Saccharomyces cerevisiae S288C: one gene and its partners. The gene in region 3 interacts genetically with the main gene of each other region. Each region holds a gene or a part of one and is shown on either strand. Other genes may lie near its edges. The genes, in order: YEF3, PRB1, STM1 and MPT5.

Evidence for each region.
Region 1: of STM1 (region 3) and YEF3, extra expression of one impairs growth in a mutant of the other (dosage growth defect), as found in Saccharomyces cerevisiae (one study listed by BioGRID).
Region 2: mutations in STM1 (region 3) and PRB1 together harm fitness more than expected from each alone (negative genetic interaction), as found in Saccharomyces cerevisiae (2 studies listed by BioGRID).
Region 4: of STM1 (region 3) and MPT5, extra expression of one rescues a mutant of the other (dosage rescue), as found in Saccharomyces cerevisiae (2 studies listed by BioGRID).

The regions. Positions count from the first base shown.
Region 1 is NC_001144.5:633,744-640,895, forward strand, and holds YEF3 (translation elongation factor EF-3), read left to right. Parts: upstream 1-3,036; coding exon 3,037-6,171; downstream 6,172-7,152. Other genes in the region: serine/threonine protein kinase RCK2, read left to right, coding at 509-2,341; nucleobindin SSP120, read left to right, coding at 6,574-7,152. UniProt on the Saccharomyces cerevisiae protein: Ribosome-dependent ATPase that functions in cytoplasmic translation elongation. Required for the ATP-dependent release of deacylated tRNA from the ribosomal E-site during protein biosynthesis.
Region 2 is NC_001137.3:38,421-44,075, forward strand, and holds PRB1 (proteinase B), read right to left. Parts: upstream 3,534-5,655; coding exon 1,626-3,533; downstream 1-1,625. Other genes in the region: kinesin motor protein CIN8, read right to left, coding at 1-1,117; SOM1 (Som1p), read right to left, coding at 3,980-4,204; HHY1 (Hhy1p), read left to right, coding at 4,232-4,540; phosphoacetylglucosamine mutase PCM1, read left to right, coding at 4,832-5,655. UniProt on the Saccharomyces cerevisiae protein: Vacuolar proteinase B involved in protein degradation in the vacuole. Among other substrates, acts on carboxypeptidase Y (cpY/PRC1) to activate it by processing its Pro-peptide.
Region 3 is NC_001144.5:437,732-442,575, forward strand, and holds STM1 (Stm1p), read left to right. Parts: upstream 1-2,735; coding exon 2,736-3,557; downstream 3,558-4,844. Other genes in the region: GID11 (Gid11p), read right to left, coding at 1-2,092; PCD1 (8-oxo-dGTP diphosphatase), read right to left, coding at 3,984-4,844. UniProt on the Saccharomyces cerevisiae protein: Ribosome preservation factor that protect a small pool of nontranslating, vacant ribosomes in cells under nutrient starvation conditions.
Region 4 is NC_001139.9:164,766-171,830, reverse strand, and holds MPT5 (Mpt5p), read right to left. Parts: upstream 4,480-7,065; coding exon 4,477-4,479; intron 3,837-4,476; coding exon 1,260-3,836; downstream 1-1,259. Other genes in the region: YGL176C (uncharacterized protein), read left to right, coding at 1-416; serine/threonine protein kinase TOS3, read left to right, coding at 6,740-7,065. UniProt on the Saccharomyces cerevisiae protein: RNA-binding protein involved in post-transcriptional regulation. Negatively regulates expression of HO by binding to the 3'-UTR of HO mRNA. Predominantly binds to mRNAs encoding chromatin modifiers and spindle pole body components.

The DNA of each region.
Region 1 (7,152 bases), 200 kb from region 3:
GAAGGCTGAAAAAGAGCCACTACGATCCAAAAAATCACCGTTAGTTTTAGTCGTCCACGAGTACGTTGGCATAAAGTCTAGTAATCTTTTTACTTTATAGCAATCAAGAGAAAAAAGGAGGATAAAGGGACATTTATTTGTTATTGTTTTTTGTTCTTTTTAAACTTTTTTACTGGCTAGGTTTAAGGTTATAATTATAAATCCAGTGATTAAGAGGAAACCTCGTCAAGAATCCTAGATAATAGTAATCAGCGACAGTTATTTCAACGAAGTCAAACTCTATCTCTGGGGCTTTATCTCTCCTATTGACATCTAACTTTTTACAAACGCTTACTAGAAAAGACGGATCGGCCAAAGAAAAAAAAAGAGTGACATCGAAAAAATTAAAGAAAATAAAATCCCAGATAGTTCATACGTTATTTGAAGTACAAACATTTAACGATTGGAAAAGACGAAAGTATTGTTAAGAGTACTGCTTATTTAGAGAGGATCAAACAAAATCTCTTCGATGCTTAAAATAAAGGCCCTTTTCTCGAAAAAGAAACCGGATCAGGCAGATTTGTCTCAGGAATCTAAAAAACCATTCAAGGGTAAGACCAGGTCAAGCGGTACAAATAACAAAGATGTTTCCCAGATTACTTCTTCCCCTAAGAAAAGCTTTCAGGACAAAAATATAGTTCAGTACCCGAGTGTTGTCGCAGATGACCATCATATGAAGTCTTTAACCGATGAATTAGTAACCACGATAGACTCGGACTCTTCACCGAGTGATAATATTACCACGGAAAATGTGGAAACAGTTACTTCCGTGCCAGCTATCGATGTCCATGAAAGTAGTGAAGGTCAATTAAGTTCCGACCCCTTAATATCTGACGAATCTCTTTCGGAACAAAGCGAGATTATCAGTGATATCCAGGATGACAGTACTGATGATGACAATATGGAAGATGAAATTCCGGAAAAATCCTTCCTCGAACAAAAGGAATTGATAGGTTACAAGCTGATCAATAAAATCGGTGAAGGTGCTTTTTCAAAAGTCTTTAGAGCCATACCTGCTAAAAATAGTTCTAATGAATTTTTAACTAAAAACTATAAAGCTGTTGCCATTAAAGTTATCAAAAAGGCAGATTTATCCTCGATTAATGGTGATCATCGTAAGAAGGACAAAGGGAAGGACAGCACTAAAACTTCTTCCAGAGATCAAGTCTTGAAGGAAGTTGCACTACATAAGACGGTTTCCGCTGGTTGTTCACAAATTGTCGCGTTCATAGACTTCCAAGAAACAGATAGCTATTATTATATTATTCAAGAGTTACTAACCGGTGGGGAAATCTTCGGCGAAATTGTTAGGTTGACCTATTTCAGTGAAGATTTATCAAGGCATGTAATCAAACAATTAGCACTGGCTGTTAAACATATGCATTCACTAGGTGTAGTGCATCGTGATATAAAACCTGAGAATCTTCTTTTTGAACCGATTGAATTCACACGCTCTATAAAACCAAAATTGAGGAAATCGGATGATCCGCAAACAAAGGCAGACGAGGGAATTTTCACACCAGGAGTTGGTGGTGGTGGAATTGGTATAGTAAAACTAGCTGATTTTGGTTTGTCTAAACAAATATTTTCCAAGAACACCAAGACTCCTTGTGGTACAGTCGGTTACACTGCCCCTGAAGTTGTCAAAGATGAGCATTATTCTATGAAAGTGGATATGTGGGGGATTGGTTGCGTTTTGTACACAATGTTATGTGGGTTCCCGCCATTCTATGATGAGAAAATTGACACTTTAACTGAAAAAATATCAAGGGGTGAGTATACCTTTCTGAAACCTTGGTGGGATGAAATCAGCGCCGGTGCCAAGAATGCCGTGGCTAAGCTATTAGAACTAGAGCCGTCTAAAAGATACGACATTGACCAGTTTTTGGACGACCCATGGTTAAATACATTCGATTGTTTACCAAAGGAGGGCGAATCTTCACAAAAGAAAGCAGGTACTTCCGAAAGACGCCATCCGCATAAGAAACAATTCCAACTATTTCAAAGAGACTCCTCGCTACTGTTTTCACCAGCTGCTGTTGCTATGCGTGACGCCTTTGATATTGGTAATGCTGTGAAACGTACCGAAGAAGACCGTATGGGAACACGTGGAGGATTAGGCTCGCTTGCTGAGGACGAAGAATTGGAAGATAGTTACAGTGGCGCCCAAGGCGATGAACAGCTGGAACAAAATATGTTCCAATTAACGCTGGATACGTCCACGATTCTGCAAAGAAGAAAAAAAGTTCAAGAAAATGACGTAGGGCCTACAATTCCAATAAGCGCCACTATCAGGGAATAGCAACTTTCCCTTCTGTTTCAATCTTTTTACCTATTCCTTTTTAAAAGATATATATACATTAAACTCCTTCTACAAGTATATATTTTATACATATCTACAGGGCGTATATATACATAACATTTTAAGATAAGCAAGTGAATGTTGATTCCCGTTTCTTAGTCAACACTTCTTTCTATTTTACCCGGTCGTTACCCTATTAAAAAAACAACTTACAATCATTGTTCGCCCCTTCCATACTTACTGCCACTCGCAAAAGGGCCCAACCAGGGCAATTACGTATCAAAAAATCATGACAGGCTGGGTAATAAATATTCGTGAAGAAAGAAGAAATTAAAAAAAGAAACGAAGAAGCAAAAAAAAGAAAAGACTCCGTTTAATCACTTTCAACCGCGGTTTATCCGGCCCCACCCATGCATAACCCTAAATTATTAGATCACTTAGCACGTGAAAAAGAAACGTTTTTAATGTTTTTTTTTTTTTTTTCTTTTTCTTTTTTTGCGTTGGTGAAAATTTTTTCGCTTCCTCGAGTATAATTATCTCATCTCATCTTTCATATAAGATAAGAAGTTTTATAAAAACCTTTTGCATCAAAATTTTGTAGAATATCTCTTTTTCTTACGCTCTCTTTCTTTCCTTAATTGTTTTCTAAAGAACCGTGTATTTTTCTAGTTCGAATCCATCGATAACATTAAAAGATGTCTGATTCCCAGCAATCCATTAAGGTTCTAGAAGAACTATTCCAGAAGTTATCTGTTGCCACTGCTGACAACAGACACGAAATCGCTTCTGAAGTCGCTTCTTTCTTGAATGGTAACATCATTGAACATGATGTTCCAGAACACTTCTTCGGTGAATTGGCCAAGGGTATCAAGGACAAGAAGACCGCTGCTAACGCCATGCAAGCTGTTGCTCACATTGCTAACCAATCTAACTTGTCTCCATCTGTTGAACCATACATCGTCCAATTGGTTCCAGCTATCTGTACCAACGCAGGTAACAAGGACAAAGAAATTCAATCTGTTGCTTCCGAAACTTTGATTTCCATCGTTAACGCTGTTAACCCAGTTGCCATCAAAGCTTTGTTGCCACATTTGACTAACGCTATTGTCGAAACTAACAAATGGCAAGAAAAGATTGCTATTTTGGCAGCTATCTCTGCTATGGTCGATGCTGCTAAGGATCAAGTTGCCCTAAGAATGCCAGAATTGATTCCAGTCTTGTCTGAAACCATGTGGGACACCAAGAAGGAAGTCAAGGCTGCTGCTACTGCCGCCATGACCAAGGCTACCGAAACTGTTGACAACAAGGATATTGAACGTTTCATTCCAAGTTTGATTCAATGTATTGCTGACCCAACTGAAGTTCCAGAAACCGTTCATTTGTTAGGTGCTACTACTTTCGTTGCTGAAGTTACTCCAGCTACTTTGTCCATCATGGTCCCATTGTTGTCCAGAGGTTTGAACGAAAGAGAAACCGGTATCAAGCGTAAGTCTGCTGTTATTATTGACAACATGTGTAAGTTGGTCGAAGACCCACAAGTTATTGCTCCTTTCTTGGGTAAATTGTTGCCAGGTTTGAAGAGTAACTTTGCTACCATTGCTGACCCAGAAGCCAGAGAAGTTACTTTGAGAGCTTTGAAGACTTTGAGAAGAGTTGGTAACGTTGGTGAAGACGATGCTATTCCAGAAGTTTCTCACGCTGGTGACGTTTCTACTACTTTGCAAGTCGTTAACGAATTGTTGAAGGACGAAACCGTTGCTCCAAGATTTAAGATTGTCGTCGAGTACATTGCCGCCATTGGTGCTGATTTGATCGATGAAAGAATCATTGACCAACAAGCTTGGTTCACCCACATCACCCCATACATGACTATCTTCTTGCACGAAAAGAAGGCCAAGGACATCTTGGACGAATTCAGAAAGAGAGCTGTCGACAACATTCCAGTTGGTCCAAACTTCGACGACGAAGAAGACGAAGGTGAAGACTTATGTAACTGTGAATTCTCTTTGGCTTATGGTGCTAAAATCTTGTTGAACAAGACCCAATTAAGATTGAAGAGAGCCAGAAGATATGGTATCTGTGGTCCAAACGGTTGTGGTAAGTCCACTTTAATGAGAGCTATTGCCAACGGTCAAGTTGATGGTTTCCCAACCCAAGAAGAATGTAGAACCGTCTACGTCGAACACGACATTGATGGTACTCACTCTGACACTTCCGTCTTGGATTTCGTTTTCGAATCTGGTGTTGGTACTAAAGAAGCTATCAAGGACAAATTGATTGAATTCGGTTTCACCGATGAAATGATTGCTATGCCAATCTCTGCTTTGTCTGGTGGTTGGAAGATGAAGTTGGCTCTAGCTAGAGCTGTGTTGAGAAATGCTGATATCTTGTTGTTAGATGAACCAACTAACCATTTGGATACCGTCAACGTTGCTTGGTTAGTTAACTACTTGAACACCTGTGGTATCACTTCTATCACTATTTCTCACGACTCCGTTTTCTTAGATAACGTCTGTGAATATATTATTAACTACGAAGGTTTGAAGTTGAGAAAGTACAAGGGTAACTTTACCGAATTCGTTAAGAAGTGTCCAGCTGCTAAGGCTTACGAAGAATTATCCAACACTGATTTGGAATTCAAGTTCCCAGAACCAGGTTACTTGGAAGGTGTTAAGACTAAGCAAAAGGCTATTGTCAAGGTTACCAACATGGAATTCCAATATCCAGGTACCTCTAAGCCACAAATCACTGACATTAACTTCCAATGTTCTTTGTCTTCCAGAATTGCTGTCATTGGTCCAAATGGTGCTGGTAAGTCTACTTTGATTAACGTCTTGACTGGTGAACTATTACCAACCTCTGGTGAAGTCTACACCCACGAAAATTGTCGTATCGCTTACATTAAGCAACACGCTTTTGCTCATATCGAATCTCATTTGGACAAGACTCCATCTGAATATATCCAATGGAGATTCCAAACCGGTGAAGATAGAGAAACCATGGACAGAGCTAACAGACAAATCAACGAAAACGATGCTGAAGCTATGAACAAGATCTTCAAGATTGAAGGTACCCCTAGAAGAATTGCCGGTATCCACTCCAGAAGAAAGTTCAAGAACACTTACGAATATGAATGTTCTTTCTTATTGGGTGAAAACATTGGTATGAAATCTGAAAGATGGGTTCCAATGATGTCCGTCGACAACGCTTGGATTCCAAGAGGTGAATTGGTTGAATCTCACTCTAAGATGGTTGCTGAAGTTGATATGAAGGAAGCTTTGGCTTCTGGTCAATTCCGTCCATTAACCAGAAAAGAAATTGAAGAACATTGTTCCATGTTGGGTTTGGACCCAGAAATTGTTTCTCACTCCAGAATTAGAGGTTTGTCTGGTGGTCAAAAGGTTAAGTTGGTCTTAGCTGCCGGTACATGGCAAAGACCTCACTTGATTGTCTTAGATGAACCTACCAACTATCTGGACAGAGATTCTTTGGGTGCTTTGTCTAAGGCTTTGAAGGAATTTGAAGGTGGTGTTATTATCATTACTCACTCTGCTGAATTCACAAAGAACTTGACTGAAGAAGTCTGGGCCGTCAAGGACGGTAGAATGACTCCATCTGGTCACAACTGGGTTAGTGGTCAAGGTGCTGGTCCAAGAATCGAAAAGAAGGAAGACGAAGAAGATAAATTCGATGCTATGGGTAACAAGATTGCCGGTGGTAAGAAGAAGAAGAAGTTGTCTTCTGCGGAATTGAGAAAGAAGAAGAAGGAAAGAATGAAGAAGAAGAAGGAATTGGGTGATGCTTACGTTTCTTCTGACGAAGAATTCTAATCTTTTTGATCACTGCTTTCACAGTTTTCTTTAAGATTTTTATTGATCAATAATTTATGTATATTTTAATTTCTATGTTTTTGTAATATTGTTTATTTTGGTAAAATATAGACGCAACTTCCTTATTATAAAGAAAGGCATTATTTAAAAGAAAAAGCGTTCCATTAGTCAGACATCTTTTTTTTTCATACATTCTTAAGCTCAGGCAAATTGAGCATTGCCTCATACCCTTTTCGGTAAGAGGGTAACGAAAATATTTTTTTGGAAGAATAAAAATAGGTGACGGATCATAGACTAGGAAGCTTTAAAACATGATTGAGCGTAATATTATATTCCTTCTAGAAAAGATAAAAGAGCCAAGACCTAAAATTTTTTCATCCCTGTTCTATTAAAATTGTGGAAATGAGGTTTTTGAGGGGATTTGTATTTTCTTTGGCTTTCACTCTATATAAAGTAACTGCCACGGCAGAAATAGGATCTGAAATTAATGTGGAAAATGAGGCACCACCTGATGGTTTATCCTGGGAGGAGTGGCATATGGACCATGAGCATCAGCTAAAAGATTACACTCCAGAGACTTTCTTCGCGTTACATGATATCAAGAAGAAAGGATTTTTAGATGAAAACGATATTCTATCTCTCTACGGGTTGAACCGTGAAGAAATTGTGGGGGCTGGTGATGGTATGGGACAACACGATGAATCTGAGAAAATTGACAATGAAATGGCTAAGCGTGTTGTTAGCCTTATTATGAGGTTATTGGATGTTGATGATAATACCAAAATCACCAAGGAGGAATATCTACAATTTGCTAAGAGAGGAAACAAGTTCCCTGACCTTGGCGTTGGTGTAGGTCACCACTCCGATTTTGAGCTAGAATATGAAATTCATCACTGGAATAAGTTTCATAAGGACAAAGATCCAGACGTTAAAGTCGTTCACAAAGAAGACATAGAACATGAATTGCTTCATCATGAACAT
Region 2 (5,655 bases), on a different chromosome or scaffold from region 3:
GTTCATCCTGATGCTTCTTATACAAAGTGATTGTAAAAATGGTATGAGATCTACTGGAAAAATCGTTCATTTTAGTGGACGCTACTTGCCTATGCTTTAAGCCTTTTTGTAATAGGTTTAGCCCCTCCATAGCATTTGTTATGTGAAATTCTTGCAAATTCTGGATGTATATACCATTAGTTTGGTCATTTGGAGCCATCGAACTTCTTTGACCGTTATTTGTGTTGGTGTTACTAGAAGCATTATTAGTGGTAGAGCCAGAGTTAGAGGAAGAGTTGTTCCTGGAATTCACTGCCTGTTGTTGTTGATACTGTTGCTTGATGGTATTCGGCAGTGATTTTGTCCTTAACCTTTTTCTTAATAGAGCAGCTTTAGGTGTTAGATCATTTAATGACCTCGGAGAACTGTTCCTAGAATTACTCCTGGAACTACTAGCACTGTTGCTAGTGGTATTATTTGCTGTGCTTGAATCAAAAATCCTCAATTTTTTCATAAATTGGCCGTCAAAGCCAGTATTACTAGAGCCGTTGCTATTGCTGTCCAAGAGGTCCTTCAATTCTTCGTTGTAGAGTTCAATGAACGAACATTTTACTACGTAATCGTTCTGTTGTAGTTCCAATGTGTCAAACAACTTCAAAAGAACCCTCGGTATAATTCCTGCTGCATCGCTCAATTCACCATTATATAACTTTTCGTCGCCCGTCATTGTATATGTTTTACCTGTTGACGTCATACCATATACCAGTACGGTGCAATTGTAACCTTTAATGAAATCCTGGAATAATGGGCCCGCCACTTCATCAAAAATTAGATCCTGGGAAGCGCCGGGACCGAAGACTTTGTCCACTGTGTATCTCTTGGCATTCATTTGAGCAGTTATACCGGTATCTCCCGTCGTGTTAATGGAAATTTCTTTAGAACCTGTAATATCTGGAACATTTACCACAACGGAGCTTTTCATACTAATTTCCCTTTCATTCCTTCCTCTGCATCGCACAGCTACAGTGATGTTCAGTTCCTCATTAGGAACAGTGTGACATCCAACCTGAGAGTTGCCATTTTTACTGATGCTGTTGGAGCTTCTATCTTGACCCGTATTTTGGTTTTCCGCTGGCATCAAACAAATTCTTTCTTGTTGTATTTTTTGCGCTTTTATATACTTTTTATTACTTTTTCCTTTGAATTGCTTGCTTCTGTATCTATACTCAACGTTACTTTCTGGCCATACCATAAGTTCTACACCCGCTGTTGAGAAGCGGGTCACAAAGGAAGTCTTTAGATGATGTTATTGTTGCGGCCTTGTTTGTTTGTTTTGTTTATTTCGCGTACCTAATACATCGTCACCACACACGAAAACGAAAACATTTGATCAGATAAGTGATCTGCAAATAAGATATAATAAAAGTAACAGTTATTTATTTAATTAAAAACGCAAATATGTAGTAATACGTGGGACATATAAATTTCATGAATTAAAAAAAAAAAATGAAATTCAGATTGAAAATAATGGGGATATAAAAAAAGTGGACAAACGATAGTGAAGAGGGACTCCGACTTGTAACCTCGAGACGCCTAAGGAAAGAAAAAGAAAAAAAAAAGCAGCTGAAATTTTTCTAAATGAAGAATTAAATAATATTCAATTTATCAAGAATATCTCTCACTTGATCAAAGATTAAATCGGTCTTTGATCCAATGAATTCATCCATGTTCAATTCTTGCTTGAAACCAGATGAATGGGACTTTTTGGTATCATTCCAGAAAGCGGACAAATCTTGACCACCACCGTTGTAGATTAAAACATTTGGAGTGTCTTCAGGGATATCGAACAAAATGTCCTTTGTACTGTAATGAATTAGCTTCTTTTTCAATTGCTGAGGAGTCAAAGAATCCTGGCCCAATTCGAAAAATTCACTATCAGAACCTGGTTGCAAAGACAAAAAGTAGGTCAACAAACCAGCAACGTGAGGGGAAGCCATTGAGGTACCCGATAAAGTGGCGGTGGCGTCATCACTTCCAATGTAGGTGGACAAAATGTTTAAACCTGGGGCGAAAACGTCGACACACTTACCCCAGTTGGAAAAGTAGGCTCTGTCATCGCTCAACGTGGAAGCTCCGACGGTGATGGCCTTGTCAGCAGAAGCTGGGGAGGTATTACAAGCGTCTTGGTTTTCGTTACCAGCAGCCACGGCAAAGTGAATACCGACTTCAACGGCTGCATTAACAGCCAAGTCCAAAGCTGGGGACTTGCCACCACCAAGCGACATATTGGCTGTGGAACCTTTGAACCCCTTTTTCTTTTCTTGGGCTTCTTTTTGGTGCGCCTTTGCGGCATATTCGACACCTTTGACGACATCAGACATGGTACCAGACCCGTTTGATCTCAAGACTTTCACCGCAACAACGTTGGCATTTTTAGCGACACCGTAGTGTTTGGAAGCGATAGTACCGGCACAGTGGGTACCGTGGCCGTTACCGTCGAGATCTTCGTCGTTAAGTGGGATGGTTTTCCCCCAAATGGCTCTCTTTTCGAAGTCCTTGTGGTTGATGTTGACACCCGTGTCAATAACATAGGACGTGACACCGCGACCGGCATCATCATCGTAGAGATACTTGTTGAAGGACCCCAGGTTGAGGCGCTCTCTGTGGGAAATACGGGCCAACCCCCATGGGGCGCTATTTTGAGTGTCAAATTCTGTAGCCTCGACAATAGAGTCTCTCTCAACAAAGTCTACTAATGGGTTTTGACGTATCAAGTCGACAATCTCTTGGGTGAAGTAACCGATGTAACCGGAGAAAAGATTATCGATGTTGAATGAGTCCTGGATACCGCCAGCCTCAGAGGTGGACAAGGAGGTGTCTTTAGTAGAAATGAAGAAAGCGTCTTCGGCAGATAAGTTCTCTACGGATTGAAGTTGTGCCTGCTGGACGTTTTCCTTGTGGAAATCGATCTCTTCTTGAGGGGCACCTCTCTTGAAGACTATAATGTAGCGGTTGGGGATGATCTTGGAGATCGCGTCTGGGTTGAATTGTGCAGTGGACACGAGAGGAGCCAGCCTGTTGTGGTGCCTCCCTTTCTCCAACGTCTTTTCGTGGTGCTTCTTGCCCTTGACTTTCTTACCTTTCATCTTCTTCTCCTCCACCTTATTTTCGTGGCAGCCACCCTTATGGTGAGGCTTCTTCTTCTTATCATCATTATCATCATCATTGGAACTTTCATGCTTAGGCTTCATGCCCTTTCCTCCCTCGTGGGCGCTCCCATGAGAGCCACTTGCACGTTTACCGTTGAATTCCGGAGACTCCTTGTCTTGGCCCTTGCGGCCCTTCTTATGGAACTTTCCATGTTCTTTATCTTCAGAGTCAGATGGCTCCTCATCATCGTCCTTAGTGAATTCCACTTTTCTGGGTCTCTCGTGGTGATCTTCCTTGTTAATCAGTTCGTGGTGGTCGGCGGCATTTTCAAGATTTGGGATGACCAAAGCAGCAGAGATGCTCCCTAGGGCACCGAGTGTAAATAGAGTATTTTCTAACTTCATCTTTGCTTGTTAGAATTAGGTTTAGTTTGTTTTTTTATTGGCGATGAAGCTAATTGGACTCTTAAGTTTGTATGGGAAGAACTCCAATATAACGGGACGTAACATTGGCCCCCTTTTATATTCATCGCGCTCTTTATCGCGGGTGTGTTTGCCCCCGCCACTCCCGCAGTCCTGGCGTGATAAGCCACTGCAGTGGCATTACTGAGCCCAAATTTTGCTTTTTCAACAAGTCACCTAAATTTCCAAAGCCGAAAGCCCTGCTACTCTGCTAACCCGGAGCGTTTAAAGTCCACGGACATTTCCCAGCCCTCGTTTTTTCTCCTCCCGGGACCCCGGGCATAAGTGCATAGTAGGCACAGACCTGATCTGTCGGGTGCAGTTTAAAAAAGTCTTGGCAAAATTTTTTATTTATCACACTACTGTGCTATATAGAGTATATGTAATTTTTAACTATTGGTATATGTGTCCGTGACCTCGTAGTTAGTGGCTGATTTGTCGGGTGCAATGCAGTGTTCAAAAAGCCTCTTAAAAGGCGAGCAGACGTATTCGGCTCCTTTGAATTGGCACTCCCATTGCACAAGCTCTTTCAGCCGGCAGTTGGTTTGTGAGTCAAGCGTTGCTAACGGTGCGAGCGCTTGGTCCCTAGTGCGGATGGTGGTTGGAGGCGCCATGAGGGTTGATTGTCTTATCTGCGATAGATGAGTCTTTCTTTCCTTCTCTTTTCCCCTTTTCTCCCCCCCTGTTTCTCGTCCATCTCTATCTGTCTATCTGTCTTATCTACTGTTAGTTTTTTTTTCGCTTTCACGATACCGCATTACGTACTGCGCTGCGGAAGTGTGGATGAGTGGCATATACACTCTTCTGCAGAGGATTTTCGTACACAACGGTGTGTGTGTGCTGTGAAGCTGTCTGCTTCCTTACTTGGCTGTTTGCTTGCTTGTGCGTCATGGTCACTTTTGTTAGAAGTGAGCCGCATAAAATGGCATGTCGGCACAGCCTACAGTTAAAAATTAAGCATATCTGACTGTTTATCTGTTTATCTGTTTATACACGGTGAACTGTCACGAGAACCCTTACTTGCACGATTAGCAGATTGTTCAGAGAGCCTCGCTCGTTGAAGTTCTTCTATATGCCAGCGTGTTTCATGTAGCAGGAAACGTTGCTCTATTTATATCTTTTCTGACATTTTGCGTCGTCGGGAAAAAAAAGATTAAGTAAGAACAAAAAACCGTTAATGGTTTCAGCAATCGAGACAAGTACAAGGACCAAGGCAAAGGTCAGCAGTAAGCTTAGAGACGATGAAGGTTGATTACGAGCAATTGTGCAAACTCTACGATGACACGTGCCGCACAAAGAATGTGCAGTTCAGTTACGGTACGGCCGGATTCAGAACGCTGGCCAAGAATTTGGATACGGTGATGTTCAGTACTGGTATACTGGCGGTTCTCAGGTCGCTGAAGCTTCAGGGTCAGTATGTGGGGGTGATGATCACGGCGTCGCACAACCCATACCAGGACAACGGGGTCAAGATCGTGGAACCAGACGGATCGATGCTTTTGGCCACATGGGAGCCATATGCCATGCAGTTGGCCAATGCGGCCTCTTTTGCCACTAATTTTGAAGAATTTCGTGTTGAGTTGGCCAAGCTGATTGAACACGAAAAGATTGATTTGAATACAACCGTCGTGCCTCACATCGTGGTTGGGAGAGACTCTAGGGAAAGTAGTCCATACTTGCTGCGCTGCTTGACTTCCTCCATGGCCAGCGTCTTCCACGCGCAAGTTTTGGACCTAGGCTGTGTCACTACGCCTCAATTGCATTACATTACTGATTTGTCCAACAGGCGGAAACTGGAAGGAGACACAGCGCCAGTTGCCACAGAACAGGACTACTATTCGTTCTTTATAGGAGCCTTCAACGAGCTCTTCGCCACGTATCAGCTGGAGAAGAGGCTGTCTGTCCCAAAATTGTTCATAGACACAGCCAATGGTATCGGTGGTCCACAGTTGAAAAAACTACTGGCCTCCGAAGATTGGGACGTGCCAGCGGAGCAAGTTGAGGTAATCAACGACAGGTCCGATGTTCCAGAACTGTTGAATTTTGAATGCGGTGCGGATTATGT
Region 3 (4,844 bases):
TATCTTCAACCCAATCGATACCTGATATATTGTTTTCTTCTGAGAATTCGTTACTTTCCTGAGTTGTAATCACTGGTCTTCTCAAAAAATTGGATGTGCCTCTATTATTCCTACTATTTGCAGCAAAATTGTCATCATCTGACGGTAAGTCTGGCGTTGAAGGTGGTCTGAGAAAACTTTCAAAAGCTCTTGCGGAAACACCATGATAGTCTGAAGAAACACGATACGTTGAGTGAACATCATTGTAAGCTTCATAATATTCATCATCTTCAAAAACATCATTACTAGCTTGCTGGTGAGAAAGTATTAAGGGGTCAATTAAATTTTGAGGTGCGGAATTTGACGACGAAGTTGCGATAGAATCAGCAGCAGGTGTGCCAAGACTTGCGTTAACATTGTTATTAGAATAATCGGCGGTTGGTGCCGAAGTCGATACTCTCCTTACCCTGAATGAACATCGTCTCTTGTATGGATGAGCTACGTCACTTGATGAACTACCTTTCGTAGAAAACAGAACCGATTCGTTACTAATTTTATCCATAACTTTCGGAAAAGGTAGAATTTGCGGCTCCAAATACTTTTTTGGGATTCTTTGAGCCATAGTTATCCATGGTTCTGTGGTTACATTTGGCATAGAGGGCAGCGAAAATCTTCTTCTTGATAAAGACCGATAATCCGCCCCTTGTAATTCATTTTTGCTATCATTACTTTCGTTTTCGTTGTTATTATTTGTGGTGAAATTATGATTTGTATTATGCTTCCGTTCGTTTATATATTCCATATTAACTTTATCAGGAATAACAATAACTTGGTGGTTAACGTAGTTTCTTGTATCTACAACGTGTACTCTGCCCTGATGTTCAGAAATGAATAATAAATCATCTAGGCCATAACTGAACCTACAGACTCTAAATGCACCGTTGTGGGAATGTGGTCTAGTCGAACTAATTTCTGCCATGGGAGTAGCCATGTTTCTGATATCATAAATTGCGCAAGTACCATTTTGAAATACCGTCGCAAATTGCAAGTCGTTTTCGGAAAAAGAGTTATAAAACCCATGGTCTGAATTTGGAGCTTCATATATGTTTTCGATATATTCTGATTCATCAGGTAACGCAAACCGTGGTATCCGTCTAACACGATTGACAGAACTACCCCAGGAAGGATGATTATCGTAATGTAAGGAGAATTGGTTGGTTAATTCATTTTGATTGTAAACAGCAAATTTATTAGAATCGCCAGACACTACCATCGTTTGACCATCATGTGACAAAGAAGCGTTATTCAAAGGAAATTTTAAATCCGCATAACGCTTCACTAGTGTTACATCTCTATTACTTACATCGCATTGGTAAAGATGACCATCATTGTTGCATGCAAAAAGATCAAACTGCATACTGGCCCTGTCATAAAGTGTGACACAATTATTGATGAACTGGCCCAACGTAAAAGTCATCATTGTGTCCGTTTCTTGATTATAAAACTCCACGATGCCCTTCCAGATATTAGGATTTGAATAATGTGAATTTATAGGGAAACTAATATTTTTGGAAATATTAATCGGTTGGGAAGGTGGCGGCAACGAAATATTTGCATCTTGAGCTAAACGGTTCCAATTAGAAGGGAATCCCTTATCATCAGAACCGATTAGACCACCACAAACAGTCAACCCATTTAATTCCGTGAAACATCTCGGCTTAAAGTTGAACTCTACCAGTTTCTCGGAAGGAACATGTAAATTTTTGGAGATATACGAGCCCGTTGTCCTAGAACCTTTTGTAGACGTTTTTTCAGTAGAGTTTTTACCACTGTTACTCGGTTGAATAGAATTATGTCGCCTTACTGGAGACCTCAATACGGAAGAATCCGTATCTAGTACTCTTATCGAATGATCGTAAATATAATACAGTTTACTCTGGTTCATGGAGCCTGGTTTGATACAATCCCGCAACTGCCAATGGTTTATGGAGACCTTGGCATCGTAGAGTTCTAAAGCAGGCATCATATAGTTTTGGTAAACCTTATCAGAGCCAGTATTTAACCGTTCATCTTGCAGCGCCTCCTTAGATTGCCCCGTGCCATCAATGGTCATTCTTTAACACGTATACTTTTGTAACTTATTGCTGTTTTTCTACCACTTTATTCGATCTTACTTGTCGTTGCTTAATCAGCAAAAGTTTTGTACTAGAATAAAGTTGTAATAGGCTTTTAATCCAGAGTCTCCTCCTCCTCACTTTCTGATCATCACCCCTTATTGCCTCAGAAAAGAGATCATACTCCGCTTTAAAGCCGTTCAATGTCACGTGACACAAAGTTGTAGCCGTATAACATATGGCGCTACCATGTTGTTATTTAGACGGGTAACATCACCGTTTAGAAAGATAAAGGAAAGTGAAATTATTGGAATGGAAAGTGTTCCCAAAAGTTCGCACCAACGCAAAAAGAAATTTTTTTTTCAATTTTGATATCATCGTTGCGTAGAGGAAGCCCTAACTGAGTAGAGAAATTATATGGTATTTTCCTTGTAATATTTGATTTTGAGTCGATATCCCCTTTGTTCTTCTTCCTTCCTTCGCTTGTTTTAGTTGTATACTTGGTTTATTGTGGAAGATTTTTTTTTCTGCTTCGTAGTTTTAAATTAGAAGTTATTTCTTTGCAAATTTCTCTTCCCCCCACAGTATTCTTTTAGAGGTGAAGTAGAAATAAACCAAGAAAGCATACACATTTTATTCTCAATGTCCAACCCATTTGATTTGTTAGGTAACGACGTCGAAGACGCTGACGTTGTCGTTTTGCCACCAAAGGAAATCGTCAAGAGCAACACTTCCTCCAAGAAGGCTGACGTCCCACCTCCATCCGCTGACCCATCCAAGGCTAGAAAGAACAGACCAAGACCTTCTGGTAACGAGGGTGCTATCAGAGACAAGACCGCTGGTAGAAGAAACAACAGATCAAAGGATGTCACTGACTCTGCCACCACCAAGAAGTCCAACACCAGAAGGGCCACTGACCGCCACTCTAGAACTGGTAAGACTGACACCAAGAAGAAGGTTAACCAAGGTTGGGGTGATGACAAGAAGGAATTGAGTGCTGAAAAGGAAGCTCAAGCCGATGCTGCTGCTGAAATTGCTGAAGACGCTGCAGAAGCTGAAGACGCTGGTAAGCCAAAGACCGCTCAATTGTCTTTGCAAGACTACTTGAACCAACAAGCTAACAACCAGTTCAACAAGGTCCCAGAAGCTAAGAAGGTTGAATTAGACGCTGAAAGAATTGAAACTGCTGAAAAGGAAGCTTACGTTCCAGCAACCAAGGTCAAGAACGTCAAATCTAAGCAATTGAAGACCAAGGAGTACTTGGAATTTGATGCCACTTTTGTTGAATCTAACACTAGAAAGAACTTCGGTGACAGAAACAACAACAGCAGAAACAACTTCAACAACCGTCGTGGTGGTAGAGGCGCTAGAAAGGGTAACAACACTGCTAACGCTACTAACTCTGCTAACACCGTTCAAAAGAACCGTAACATTGACGTTTCTAACTTGCCATCTTTGGCTTAAGCCTTATATATGAATAATTCCAACTGAAAGAATCCAATAACAGTGTTCTACTTTCTGTTTCTATTACTATTATTATTTTAATTGGTTATTTACTATATAATTTGCAAGTGAAGATGATCATGCTGGCAAACCAAAGAATAAAATTGGGTTGACATCCAATCGAGAATATGACATATCATTTTGTTTTATTTAAGCAATAAAAAATAAATGACTTTTAATTTACTTTTCAATTTTCTTTTTTTTTTTTTCACTTCTGAGATGTGCAAGCGTGTAGTTTGTTTGTATTTGTATAACAATTTCATCATTAGTCATTCTTCATTAAAAACTTTTTGTTATCGATTAAGGACATCCAGTATGATTCTTTTTCTCTCATCTTGATTATCTCTTGAGAGTATTGTTAGGCAACGCATTATACCACAGTTTTTTTTACCAAAGCGAGCGGCACTCCAGCAGGTGCTTCATGTAGTATTCAGGTATCACATCGCTATATTTTAAGTTTCTGTCGCCGTTGATCATTCCTATCTCCCATTCACTTCTTCCGTTCGGTTGCATCTGATTACCATAGTCATGTAGTCCAACTATCAAATCTTCGTGCCCTAGTTCTCCTTTTAACTTTTCGTCCATTAGTCCATTAGCTATACATGAAACGTCGAATAATATTTTACATGTGAGTCCCCACAAATCCCTGAATCTGAAAATACCTCCATCAACACCGTCTTCGTCTGAACTTGATAAATCCTCTATGGTTTGCAACCATGGCATTTCGTTATTATTTGCTACGTGAAAATGATAATGCATAATCAACCATTTTATTCCACCCCAATTAAGCTTATACTCCTTCCGCTCAAAATATTCTGCTTGATAACTCTTAACATCCTCATCGGCTTCAGGAAGAAGATGTATAACTAAGTCATTGAGTGGTACAGAAAACAAAGAAGATGTTTCTCCAGGGTTCAGCTTACCAAAAAACTTACGGATATCTAAGGGAACTTTGTATTTATCCTCATGTTTTTCTAATTTATCTTTGTAAAGAAAACAGACCATTGGCTTAACACTTAAAAATGTTCTTGATAAATAGCATGGCATATCCATGACCAAATTGTCTAATTTCATTCCGAACTCCTTATGCAAGACCTCAGGATCATGCGGTAACCCAATCTCCTCTTCAGCTTCTCTTCTGGCTACGCTTTCAAAGGTTTCTTGAAAATAATCAGCTTTACCTCCAGGAAATGAAACATCACCTGAGAAGCTTCTCAATGTTCTTGAACGTTTAGTTAAAAGCACTCG
Region 4 (7,065 bases), on a different chromosome or scaffold from region 3:
TGACTAAGGATACAGAAATACTCGAGATATCGGATGACGGGCGCTACTTCATTTATGGTTCAACTAGCGCTAGGGACGGAAAGGGTGATTTTGAAGTATTTTGTACCACTTTATCTGGAAATCTTGACTACGAAAAATCCGAAGGTGGAAATATCACCCTCTATCCAATAGGAGGTATGAAGAACTACTGTAGGTTAGAAAACTTCCAGTTTGAATCTATCCACCTACATTCGGCTTTCATACCCCCAAGGTACGTAAATCCGTTTGATGCTGTGGAACCTCTAGGTGAAGAGAGCAGTACTTCACCTTACGATATACCTGAAGAAGCACTTTCTCAAAAAATATGCATCTTAATTCGGAGAGAAGATGATCCCTACAATGGGGCCAATATCTTCATAACATCTGCTTTGACCTAGTTTAGCCCACCGAGATTTTTGCTTTATAAATATTTTAGCATACTTTGCATTCATATACATATTCATATGTATAAATATTCTTTAAATTTTAACGCCGACTTCGAACTAATTAGCAGTCAAAACCCAAATGTAATGACCTTATGGTGTTATAGCATAATTCTTCTTGGTGTACAATTCCATTCTGAATAGTTCAACGATTTTAGATATAGTTAGATATGATATTATAATAAAATATACAAATATGTATCATTGTTAGTACAAGTTAAACCTAAATATAATAAAGCCAACCAAGACAGGAACCAGTAGAAAAATTTATACAAATGACAAAGAAAAACAAACGGTATTTTCCTATTTATTAAAAATGCTTGAGCGAATGGATATTTTAACACATTAGTGTCCTAAAGGACAATTGGATTTGAAAATAAAATGACAGTAATAGACAAAAAGAAAACTGAATGAATGAATGGACGTATGGATTGCTTAATGAATGAATGAATTAAATAATAGTTGGGCGTAAGTTCAGAAGATGAGGAATTTAAAACAAAAATAATCGTTGACAAAAAACGATTCAAAAAAAAATTAGATCATTTTGGTAGGGAGCAATGCTAACCCTGCAAAGGCAGTGGGAGGATTTTGGATACGTGTTCGGAAACAGAATACAAAATATAAAGATGGCAATAGTTTGCTTTACCATTTTTTTCCGGCTCAAATTTTGGGACTTTAGTAGGACGTCATTGCTTAGTTGAATTTTTTATTTTTTATTTTTTATTTTTCTTTTGTCTTTGATTTCTGCGTAAAATATTTGTACAGTAAGAAGGAAAGAAAAAGAAAGAAAAAAAAGTATTATGGCAAAGTGAATTGAAGTTCATCAGATGTTCTAGCGGTATTCATGGCAGGCATATTGGAAATACTAGCGTTGCGGCTCATATTAACTTGATTATATGGGCCTTGACCAATATGCTGCGACTTCATTGACAAACTTGAATCCCAGTTTGCACCTTCCGTTTGATATTGCATACGAGGCACAAAAGATTCATTGAAGTTTTGACTATTTGCATTAGAGTATGGCGAGAAGTGATTAGCATTAATTTTGTCGGTTTCATTCATCATAAATCCAGGCTGCTTAAATCCCCTTGAAACATTAGGATTCACATTGGTAATGTTAGATGATGAGAACGAATGGATTGGTGCAGCAGAATTAGGATGTGCCATTAAATTTGCAAACTGGCGGTTGTCGAAGTTTTGTAACGAGTTATGGCTTACCAATGGTGGGTTAGTTTGAGAATTGAAAGAAGGTGCTCCCATCGAGGGATATGCGTTTTGGTTGAAGTTCATAATTTGTTGCGGAGAGTGAATTTTCTGATCTTGTGCATATTGGTTTGAGAAATTATTGGTTACAGAGCTGTTACTTCTTCTATGGTAAGCATTAGCTGGTAAAGAAAAATGACGGGTATGACTCTTTTGATTATTATTGTTATTATTATTGTGAGCATGGTTATGATTATGATTATGATTATGATTATGACTATTTTTGTTATGGGGGTTCTTATTTTCGTTGTTAATCGTTTGAAGATTGTTATGACTCATTGCAGTGACTTGAGGAGATATGTCAGTGAATGGTATACCTGTGGCTTCTGCATAAGCTTTAACTTTCAACTTAATTTTCTTTGCATAGGATGTAGTTTTAATACTTGGAAGTAATTCTTTTGTAAGGACAATCAAGTTACCAATTTTCAATGAAAAATCGTTACAAAAGTTACCGTAATTCAATGTACTAGAGCTGTTTTGCCCAATTGCGTTACTATTTTTGTTGTAAGCAAGCAGAGGAGAATAATTCTTAACGTCTAATAGCGTTTGTAACGCATAATTACCAAAATTATCCCTGATTAGCACATTTAAATTGACTGTGAATATATCAATGGTAGTCAAAAGAATGTTCATAGAAGCATTAATCACGTCATCAGAAGCAACTGCAGTCCTTTGGGAGGCACCCCCATTGTTATTAACAATAAATCCAGTAATGATTCTAAATAATTTTTTAATGAATTTTTCCACAACATTTGAGGAGAACTTCAAACAAGATAGTTGACATAATTCATTGGATAAACGGTTAAATAACTCAGCCAATAAGTAAAAGTCCAATTCTTTGATATCTAACAGAAATTGGATGATATAATTACCGAACTGATCGTTGATTAATCCAGGAAGGAACTGCACAATTTTCACAGAAATTTTGAAAATTTGTTGTAGAGTACAAACGCTTAGTAATTTTTGTAGTACGCAACAACCATGTTTATGGGTAGAAATGGTAATGATATTATTTTGTTCTACAATAGCATCTATGATGAAACCAAATTTTGATGGCGAGAATTTGAAAATACACTTTTGAATCACATGGTTACCATTAAGATCGTTTATCAAAGTAACCACTTGCTCAATCGAAGTAAATTCTTGGGAAAATCCCTTAATAATGAGATCGATTTGAACTTCGTTATCGACAGTGTCTATAATTTTCTGTAAGGAACGAGTTCCGTACTGATTGATTGATATTTGGAAAACATTTGGATATATTGTTTGTATTAATAATGTCTTTTGCTCGGCAGTTAAATAATCGCATAGTTTTTGAACCAAATAGTTACCGAACGGATCCAAAATAAGGTCCAAGAAAAATGGCTTAATTTGTTCATACATCAAGTCTCTCACCATATTGGATTCACTGGGGGTTTCTAATTTTTTTTGAAGAAAACGGCAGCCAAACTGGTCAGTGGCAAGTTTGATATAATCCAGATCTCTAAGGGGTAGTGCGCTGATTTCGACCATAGATGAAGACGTTGAGCTACTCAAACCAAATGACGAATTATCCACTCCACATTTGGAAGCAGCATTATTACTATTGCTAAAATTTCTGAGAGATGCAGCAGGAGTCACTGAAGAGGATGGTGTTTCCATAATTAAACTGGAGGTATTGACACCAGAGTTCGAAGGAGCAACAACCGTGAAATCGTGGCTTGATTTTCTCCTGGGACCATCCATTTCCAGATCAAACTCATTGATTAATGGTAGAATGGCTGGAGGATTTGCCATTGAGGCTGAAAGCCCAGTGGAGTTGCTAGCAGCATTAGGATTCGGGGAAAAAGAGTTAGCAGAATTCGATGTTGATGTATTATTCATCAAAGCCAAGGGAGATTGTGTCGATGATATGAACTGATTAAAACCAGAGAGATCAAGCGAATGAGCCTTTTGATGGTTTCTTTTGTTATTCATCTGGCCCAAAGGCGGAGGGGTCACGGGCTCCAAGAGTGATTGGACGGAGTTAATAGATAGTTGAGGCTGATGATTGTAAGACATTAAGGAGTTATTTGATGTAGACGTAGTTAAAATCGATGCTGAGTCGGCAGATGGAAATGGTTCGTTATTGATCTGATTGAATAAAAGAATGTTGTGTTAGTAAAGTGAAACCACAAAAATAAGGCGTGTGCAGAGCCGATTTTGGAGTATAAGCCTAGGATCAATTTCGATAACTGAGAAAGAGAACAATCACAACCATGTACAGTGTCCAGGTGGCCTGAGATGCGTGAGAATCAAGAGTAAATCTATCTATAAAGTTCGACTTCAATGGCGACAGAGGATGGCAAAAAAAGAGGACAGGAAAAGAGGAAGACAAAACACAAAATTTATGCTTGATTTTAGAATGAAACCTATAACCATAAAGAGTAAAATCCTTATAACTCTCAACGAATCTGCATAAATTTTTCATAGATCTTCGAATCTTTTCTTTTTTTTTTTTTTTTTGCTCATTTTTGCCTGAGGCGCCTCTTTCCCGAAGCCCTTCTTTCGAGAAAATCCTTATAGGCATATTCGAGAAATAAGGTAGGGTCAAGTATCAGAAATTCCATACGACATAAACGGAGATTGTTAGACCGCTAAAAAAGGCGTGTCGATAGGCTGATCCCACTGAAGCTGGTTTTTGGTTATTATGCTATTTGTTGTTAGAAGATCCCGTTAAAGCTTATGCTCCATTGGCGAAGAAAAATATTGGGAATTAAGAGATAATACATACCATAAGAGAAACTGGAAAAATCGTAATTGATTTATAAATTTGCGTAGAATTCGCTTTACTATGTGTTGGAGAGGAGTTGAGGAGGTTTTTTTTTTTTTTTTTTTGGTTTTTTAGCTTTTATCTTAAGGAATAGTAAAAGTGGCGGTTGTAGTAGCAGGCTTTTGCTGATCCGTAGTCCAAATCTAGTAATTTCAAGGCGCTTGACTTCTTGATGTTATTACCTTTCTTTTATTACTTAACTTGCCAATCAATGATGTGTCAATGATCTTCTCGGGGCTAGCAGATCTGTTCTTTTTTACCTGTTCTCTTTTTGTGTGAAAAGATAAAGTAAATTATGAAATAGGCTGATCTTGATGTTGACTCAACAGTACCCAAGGTTTTGAAATGTGAATTGTGTTCAGTATATTCAATGTTTCAGATATATATTGAAAGGAAACCACCTATTATGCTTTTTAGGCCTCTATGTAAGAAAATCTATACGTTTAACACAGATGCGAACCAGGAAAGAAGAAGAGTTCTTGTAGGCCACGTTTAAGAATGGCAAGAGAGAAAAAAAGAATGATCACAAGAAAACTGATTTCAGAATTGTAATATCGGACGGCAATACTAGTGTAATCTGAACCACAAGGTTAGTCTTAGCTGGGTAAAACACCTGGCGAAAGAAGAAAAAAAATAAGGAATCTGGATGATTATAAACTTTTTTAAATTACCCTTCTTTTATACATGAAAAGGGCATACAGCATACATAAACGGTAAAGAAAAAGAGGCAATCGTCAGTATTAATTGGCTCTAAGCTAGTCCAGGAAATAACCGCGTATAAATCCAAACCGTACTTCAGAACATTCAGATCTTTCTAGCTACTTGAAAGCGCGTACCATTTCCCCAACCTTAATATGTATATTTTATCACTCACTATGCAGTACTAGGCCGCTTCTTTCTATTGCTTTTCAGATTGCCAGATGCAATATATCCCGCTTCGGAATTATTAAAAATTTAGGGGTTGGCCAGATGTTTAGAACCTCGCTTTCCAGTTAATTGCTTTAGGAAAAGAAAGGCCAATATTGTTGTCATTTTTGTATTTTTTGCGCGGTACTGACCTTTTACTGCGGCGTTTCGCGTTTTTTTGGCATTTCGCGTTTCAGTGCGGCCCCCCCTCCCCAAAAAAATGGCGTATATTTTTAGTTAGTTTCTTCATCGTTCGATGCCTAAGCCGAGAATTTCAGAAGGCTTCTAAGGGCCAGAGTAAAGAGATCCATTGAGCCCCCACCCAGTTGGCAGCGGATGCCGAAGGGCGGAAGGAAGGGGCGTGTATAGGCTTCTTTACGAGAGCAAAAGACATTACAACGTACAAGGGACATTCCGTTCCCTTGTACGTCATGTTAATGAGCAAGAAACCGCTCACCGGCAATGGTTGGTGGTAGTGGTAGTATGGACTCTTTGGGTGATGAAAAGTAATCAGAACATTCTGCAATTTCTTTACATTTCCAATACTTGCTCCATTTAATCCTTTCCTTAGGTGGCGATAGCCCACGCGAAAGACGACCTAGGGTCAGGAGATTATCAATGCACTTGAGGCTTTAACTACTATGGCTTAAGAAGGGTAGCTACTTTATTTTTGTGCTTTTAAGAAATGTAATCATTAATTAAGTAATTAGGAGGTCAAGACGAAAACCATAAATAGATTGTGTAGAAGGGGCCGTACATTTTGTTTCTTATGCAATGTGGTAGTTTCGTTTACCGCCCTCGCCGGTCCATCACAGCATTTTGGAGTTCCTTTCTAAGGTCCATCGGAGCACCTTTATTTTTTTTGCGCTTCGGATAAATTGCATTTGGTTGATAACTTCCATCTCCACCCGTCCCCTCGCACCGGACCTTTTAAAGATCCCTTTGTATATAATAAACCAACGGGTCCTATAAAGACTACCGCTGATATCTTCGGTTTGCACAACGTCCTTCAGCAAGCAAAATATGGCTGTTTTTATTCTCTGTATGTCCTCATTGATGAGGACTCGCAACAATCTTGGCTATTTTTTTCGTTGAGCATACCCGGTCCCTGAATCTTTTGTGCGGGTATTATACGAAGAGCGGGTGTGCCTTACTTATCCGCGCGGTATATAAAGCCATACATTGTTAGGACAGGTGTCCCCAATAAGAAACACTACTTGTAAGTGGTATATAATGCTCGAGCCTCTAGTGACTCGTACTCTACGCCTTGAAATTGCTGCGCACATATTCTGCATATAAAAAGGAAGCTTTGAAGAATATGGTACTACTTAAAGAACCTGTTCAGCCGCTGCCTCGATCATCTCTGTTATATAATAATGCGAGCAATAGTAGTAGTCGTATAAAAGAGACAAGAAAAGTCAAACTATTATATAATCCCTTAACTAAGAGACAAATCCTTAACAACTTTGAAATTTTAGCCACTTTGGGTAATGGACAGTACGGCAAAGTGAAATTAGCAAGAGATCTCGGGACAGGTGCGTTGGTTGCAATAAAAATTCTTAATAGATTCGAAAAAAGAAGCGGGTATTCTCTTCAATTGAAAGTAGAAAATCCAAGGGTTAATCAAGAAATTGAAGTAATGAA